Linked DNA regions of Xenopus tropicalis. The protein of the gene in region 1 interacts with the protein of each later gene in a biochemical or structural test. Links are inferred from orthologs where the notes say so. Each region holds a gene or a part of one and is shown in the gene's direction. Other genes may lie near its edges.

Region 1 (3,656 bases):
TTTTTCATGATGACTGAATCCATTTTTCTAATATGGAGAACATGCAAATATTTTGTAACTAGCATTTTAACAACTGTAAATCACTTTATAACCAGGATGAGGTGGTTGTCAAAATCCCCACTCTACAGGGTTATTACTTGCCAAGCTACTGAATATATTTATTTTTATTATGTGCGTCATTCCCTTGCTCTCACCACCATTTCCATACCACGTGTGTCCTATTTTGCATCCCTGCACAAACTGATTGGGGGTGGGTGACAAGTAATTGATCATCAAAATTGGCAATTTTTATTGTATCAACACATGATGCATTCCGTGTAGGTAAAATTATGCAACTTAGTATTTTTCTGTGCTTCAAAGTCTGTTTTTCGAAACAATATTTCACATCATTTTTATTATTTGAAATGCAATATATATTGATAATCAGATGAAGTATCAATAATAATTCTGTAACGCTTTATAAAATAGAGGAATTGTAATTTATTATGTTAATATTTTGTATTTTTTAGTGCAAAACCTATGCCTGTGTAATTGAAAGCCATTTGATGGGTCTTACTATCGATTTTGGAATGGGATTTATCTGCTTTGATGCTGCAACAAAGGTAAACATATTATCTGATGAGTGTAAGCGTAAGCAAAAGTGAGGAAGGAGAACCCCCTAACAATGTGCAGTATGTCTAATGAGAATGTAAAGCTCTAGAGCAGGGGTCTCAAACTCGCGGCCCGCGGGCCATTTGCGGCCCTCGGTACAATATTTTGTGGCCCGCACCAACGCCTTCTCAAAAGCAATGAATGGATCGAGATTTTTATTGCGATTCAAGGGATAATGCAAGGCACGGCGGGCGGGAGCTGCTGATTGCGGAAATGACGTTATGCCATCATAACAGTTATTATGGGAAGACGTTCTGTGTGCACAATTAGCTGATTTCACAATTTTTTTGTGAAATCCCTTATGCGGCCCAGCCTCATCCTGACTTTGCCTCCTGCGGCCCCCAGGTAAATTGAGTTTGAGCCCCCTGCTCTAGAGAGTGACATACTGAGAGAGCTGCAAAGAGAAGAAAGAGGAAAAGAGTGTTAGCCTGAGAGAGGAAGAGTGATGATGATGGGCCAGGTCAACATGGTATAAAAATGGCACCGGTTTGGGTTAGAGAATAAGAGGGCATTTACTCAGGTTTGATTTTAATTTTGTCCCACAATCCGGTTTTTGCAGCAAAATACAATTTTGTTATGGAAAAAAACTATTTTTTCACAATTTATTAATCAACAAAACCAGAACAGAAAATAAAATACGCCATCTAAAACCTGTTGAAATCATGTAAAGGTCAATGGCAGATGTCCTTTTTACAACTGGAAGACCTTTCTTTTCTTCCTAGTTTTAGAATTTTTTTTTGGGGGGGGGGTTTGACGCTTGCATTTGTACGACAATATGGAAAAGTAGACGTTTTTGAGTTTTTTTCTGCGTCTTTTTTCATTTGTGCTTTTCATATTACAACTTTTCATAAATGACAGACATTCCCAGAATTTAGTTTAGTCGTGGTTTCAGAAACCTCGAAAACAATGAAAATGAGAATATTGATAAATGTCTCTAAATGTCTAAGGCAGAGCAATTATGACTAATAGTAATAAATCTGGTCCTTATTAGATTAGTCACAAAGTAAAGGAAAATGTTTATAAAGACAGTGATTAATAAGTATGTTCAGCAATAGCATTTTGATCTCCAATGTGCCATCACAATACATAATAATACTGTATATACCATTTCCTCTCCCCTGGGCCCAAGTTACAGGGCCATAAAATAAGGAACAATTACACAACACATATTGCAGCAAAAAAGTGAATAAGGCAACAATGCAATGTGCAAACCAATGCAATTTCAATTTCCAATGGGTTACCATAGTGCATACACGTAGCAAATAACTATATTATCTTAATCCCTGTGTGTTATTATAATAAAGTATACATTTTTTCTGCAGAAGTATACAAATTCCAATGTGAAAAAAGACCATTAGCCAGTTGCTAACCCCATCAGTCCATATATTATTGCTCTTTGAGGTTACAATATTATTGTTACTGTTACTATTTTTTACTTTTTTTTTTTTACTTCTCTCTCTATTCAGGCCCTCTCCTATTCATATTCTAGTCTCTCATTCAGACCACCGTCTGGTTACTAGATTAATTTGGACCCTAGCAACCAGATAGCTCCTGCCATTCCAAACTAGAGAGCTGCTGAACAAATAGCTAAATCATTAAAAAAAACATGCACAATAAAAACATTAAAACCAATTTCAGATTGTCTCAGAATATCACCCTCAACGGTGAATAACCCTTTTAAATTATGGATTGAGGTAGTTTCCTGTGAATGTCATTGCATTATATTGTTCTGATGTCCTAGACATCCCCTGCGCCATTTTGGGGAGCACATGAATTTCTTTGGCATTTTCTGCACTGAGCTTCATGAGGAACAAAATGCCGGCGCAGCACTCTCAGGAACAGTACCCCAGCCCAGTGCATTTTCTGAAGAAAAGGAGCATCAGCCTATGATAGGACATAAGCAACTAGAATCATTTGTTGCCTAAAAACTTGGCACCCCTAACAGTAATTTTACCTTACCTGAATTATTCAGGCTTATATATATGGAAATAGCTCCCATTGTATCTGTGAAGAAATTGTTCATTTTATTACATTTTTACTGTAGTTTTCTAATTGTCCGTTTGAGTAAGTTGATTCAGATAGGTATAGGCATGATTACTTGGACGCTGTCAATTCAATAATGCATACCAACTTTGATTTGCTTGAGTAAATATGACAATTCAGCCTTTCCTAAATTGTAATATTTGTCCTGGTTAGATCAATACATCTATGGTACTGCCTTCCTTAGGTACTGTAGTCACAGTTCTAATAGTACTAATAGTAAATAGAACTAATAGTAAATAGAACTTTAGTTTAAATTAAACAAAAGATTTTGGTGTCTATTTTTGGCATCTAAAATCTGTTTGGGTAACATGTAAAACTGCACAGAAAGCAATTAAAAAAAATACCAAACATACAAAAATGCATAGAAAATATTCTTTACACACAATTTAAATTATGGCATTCATAACATGCAGGCGCAATTTAACATGTTTTGATGCATCTGCCACAATTGGGTCAGACTCTTACCCCCTCCAGTGGACACAATTAAGCAAGAATTATAAGAAAAAAAAGTGAACTACCCCTTGAATGTGTCTCATCTTAACTATGTTTTTTTATTTCCTTTTTCTTTAAGGCAATTCTGTGGAAATACAAGTTCTCTCAACTCAAAGGTTCTTCAGATGATGGAAAAAGTAAAATTAAATTTTTATTCCAGAACCAAGATACAAAACAAATTGAAGCAAAGGTAAAAGTATTTTGTATCCAAACAACTGTACTCTTGGGAAATATTTTGTCGAGAACAACAAACAGTGTAAAAAATGATTATGATCATGATTATGAAGAACACAAAAGTCCATTCAGTTCATCCCCTCCAAATGATCCCCAGTGCATGCATACATACTGTATACACACACACCTAAGACCCAACACTCACAAATATATAGGGTATTATGTACCCCGTGTGTGTGTGTGTGATTGCGTGAGCGCGAAAGCTTGTGCAATTATAAATGGGCCCCAACCCTTCT
Region 2 (3,656 bases), on another chromosome or scaffold:
GTAACAAAATGCATTCATACTAACAGTACTTTTAACCCTTAATATCCTGTAGTTAAAAAATAAATAATAATGAATGTAAATTGCAAAAGTGCTTAGAATAGCACTCATCAATTTTATATCACCTTATTTAAAAGGTTTACTTATCCTATAAACAGACAGGTGAAGGTTAATTATATACATTTTCAAATCTGTATTAAGAAATATAGATTACTTATTTAATATATGTTTTCATGTAAATGACATTTTTTAATATACGTATCCACGGGGATCCTGGAAATTGTTTACTCACAGGTTGTACTCCCCTCCTTCACGTTATAATATAGATACTCACTATTAATTGGTCCTTGTCACGACAGTCGTAGGATTTAACCACACAGCCGTTACTGCCTTTTTCCTGGTGTTTTTCTGTTATCCCATCTTTTCTTGATCCTTCAGTAAGTATCTAACTTCCACCCACCCGTGTCCCCGCAGATCCGACAGGTCAGACGCCTTTCGAATCCCTGTATTCCAAGGTACACAGGCAGCAGTGCATGTCCCTCTACTGATCAATTGCTGCCGCCCCTCTCATGTAACCCTGTCCCTATGTCCAACACCCTCATTATTTGCACACCCTTCCTCATCCATCCATCAGCACAGTGTATGTTTATAACTTGGTGTGCTTGCATGATATGTTTCCTGCCAATGACTGAGCATGCACAATGTTAGAAAGATCCACAGTCTGCTGTGTATGGGAACTGAATATATATATATATATTTGCCTATGGCACCTTCTTGAAGTGAAAGAATACAAAAATGGAAAGGAAAAATGCTTAGTATTTACTAGGTGTTCACTGTGGGTCACTCATAGCTCTATATGCTTGTTCCTTTAGCCGTATAAATTTAGAGCCATGGGTGATATGATCACTTGTTTATGAGCAATAATGTACTAAAATCATAATAATCTTAAAGGCTAAGTAAACCTTTAAAATAAGTTGATGCAAAATTGATGAGAGTGCTGTTCTAAGCACTTTTTCCAATTGACAACATCAGCCAAGCCCTCTTTGTTTCTTCAGACAATGTCCTTGACTAATTCATGTTGGGAAAGTGACCAGCAGGCGGCGCTGTTCTAACAAAATGCATTCATAGTAACGGTACTTTTAACCCTTAATATCTTGGAAATTTTTTTAAAAAATTAAAAAAATGTATAAAATGCAAAAGTGCTTAGAATGACACTCTCATCGATTTTACATCAACTTGTTTTAAAGGGTTAATTAGCCTTTAATAGCTTATTTGCCAGCTTTTGATACAGTGTAGCTGTTCCATATCCGTATGTCATGGGAAAACACAGCCATGTGATTTGTGCTCTGATAAACTTCAGTCACACTTTACTGCTGCGCTGCAAGTTGGAGTGATATCGGCCCCCCCCATCCCAGCAGCCGATCAGCAGAACAATAGGAAGGGAGCAAGATAGCAGCTCCCAGTAGGTATCAGAATAGCACTCAATAGTAAGAAATCCAAGTCTGGCTTGGGACTCCTCCAGTTACATGGTCATGGCAGCCAGTTGTTCCGTTTTCTGTTATACAGTTGGCTAAACTAAGCTGACTGCTGATTGGTTGCCATGAGTTACTGCCCAGGTGCAAATTTCCCCAGTGTCGTTGCTATTTCTTATTAATACAGCTGTTTTCTAAGCAGGTTCACGTTAATCTCACAAACTAATTCAACTGACTAAAAAAGTTCTGATACAATGAATATACCCTTTAATGATTTCCCCTTTTAGTGGCTGATGTTTTAGGAAGATTTTCTCTCTGGCTTGTTATAATCAACCATGGACTTCTGATAACGACTGTCCCATCATGCTTTATGATTTTGCAACTGTCATTTTTTTTTTTTTTAGCATTTCCTTTTTATCTTGACTTTGTCACAGCTGATCAGACCCGGCACTGATTACTAACAAGCCCACGGTGAGGCGGCTCTCTCACATACCATGTCTTTGTTGTTCGCAGGAGGCCCCAAATTCCGAACATGGCGCACCCTCTCGTTCCTTCATTCTCCCTCACTCAGCCGCCAGAGCTCAGCTCTCTGACCCCGGAATGCCTATCCGCGAGAGGGAAGAACCTAACTCTGTTAGTAAAGCCCAGCCAGGATACAGCAAGGTCCAGACTCTCCCTGCAGGAAACCAGCCTGGCAAAATGACTCCTGCCTCTGTCACCATGTATGGCAGCCGTCGGGAACCTGTGCTTTTGGATTTAGACGATGCCAGCCTGCCAGTCACTGATGTGTGATCATCATCTGCCACATCTTTGTATGCCGTTTGGGGAAGGGGGTGGTGGGGTACATTTTGGGGCAATTTCACCTTGAGGTCATAACTGTTAAAGCAGCACCCATTCCCTTGAGCTGCCATGCTCCTCAGTGAAGGGGAAACCTGCTAAATGCTATAGAGATGGCATTGTGCGACTGGAAGAAAATATTCCCAAGAATTATTTTTTTGTAGTCAAAGCAGAAAAATGTTGGAACAGTCTGTTCCCCCCTCCCCAGTATGGAACGGTGACTGGGGTCATTAGATTGATAGGATCATGTCCGTAGTGGCATGGAGTGCCTTGTTGCTCTTATAGAGGTTTCGTTACAAAGCTGTGGTTGAATTATTCTTGCCACTCTCACTGCAGCTCTACAGATCTGTGGGGGAGCCACAGGTTGCTGGTATTTTAAATGCTTTTAATGTTTATTTTGTTATTTTGCTTATTCAGTATTTTTCATATCCAGTGTGACACAGTGCTGCTGAAAGCAATAATCAGGGTCCCCGAGGTAAAGCGCATAAACTCTGGGGGTCTCCCCAATCCGAGACCCTTGTATGTATTTTGCACATCTCTTCCACGTGCCACAGATCTGAAAGCCACAATGTTATTAGCACTTGTCCAAGTTGGCCTTTCAGTCTTTTGTTTCTTTTTGACGTTCTATTTGTCAGAGGTACTGCTGAGAGTATTAGAAACCCTCTGGCTGTGCCCAGCCTGTAGTTTGGCGTTTTATAGATGAGCCCGGGGGAGGGATTCGCCCTGCCTCCCGCGCCATCTTTGCCTCTGAGTCTCAAGTGCCTGCGTTGGTCGTGCTGTAAGACTGTCACTTGTACTGCTGATTCTAACAAATCTGCTGTAATTCTGTGCTTCCCCTTTATAACCCTTCTTGGAAAGAAAACCCAAAGTGTGTGTGTTTTTTTTAATGATTTTATTTTATATGTTTTTGTGGGTGTTGGGGATACTTTCTAATTTATAAAGTTTTCTTCCTAAATAATGTGGGTGAAAATGCCCATTTAAAATATCTTTACCACTGGAAATAAACCTGTCTTTTTTCAGTAAATTCAGTATTTTCTGCCATTGTTCTGTTATACCTTGCTCTGCTGGCTCCACCGTACAATACTGGAATAGTTGTTTGTACACAAAGGTAGGTCTTTTAATATAGTAAGTGGATATCCAAAAAATATAGATGTTTGGAGCAGGCCCGGACTGGCAATCTGGGGGTTCTGGCAAATGCCAGAAGGGCTGCTGTAAGATGCAATGACAGTCACTATTTGTTGGGTTGGTCGGGGGGCTGTTTGGGCCTCTCTGTACTGAAACTGCCAGGGCCTATTTGAGTCCCAGTCCAGACCTGGCTGTAAGGATCACAATTGAAGTTTTCTGGCAGGA

The links.
Region 2: the proteins of sntg1 (region 1) and plekha1 form a complex in vitro, tested with the Homo sapiens proteins (2 studies listed by BioGRID and IntAct, with this or other methods). The link is inferred for Xenopus tropicalis from reciprocal best matches to the Homo sapiens genes SNTG1 and PLEKHA1.

What each region holds. Positions count from the first base shown.
Region 1 is NC_030682.2:113,973,653-113,977,308, forward strand, and holds part of sntg1 (gamma-1-syntrophin), read left to right. Parts: intron 1-509; coding exon 510-602; intron 603-3,265; coding exon 3,266-3,376; intron 3,377-3,656. UniProt on the Homo sapiens protein: Adapter protein that binds to and probably organizes the subcellular localization of a variety of proteins. May link various receptors to the actin cytoskeleton and the dystrophin glycoprotein complex.
Region 2 is NC_030683.2:18,981,832-18,985,487, reverse strand, and holds the end of plekha1 (pleckstrin homology domain-containing family A member 1), read left to right. Parts: intron 1-471; coding exon of another isoform or gene 472-512; intron 513-1,982; coding exon 1,983-2,261; 3' UTR 2,262-3,330; downstream 3,331-3,656. UniProt on the Homo sapiens protein: Binds specifically to phosphatidylinositol 3,4-diphosphate (PtdIns3,4P2), but not to other phosphoinositides. May recruit other proteins to the plasma membrane.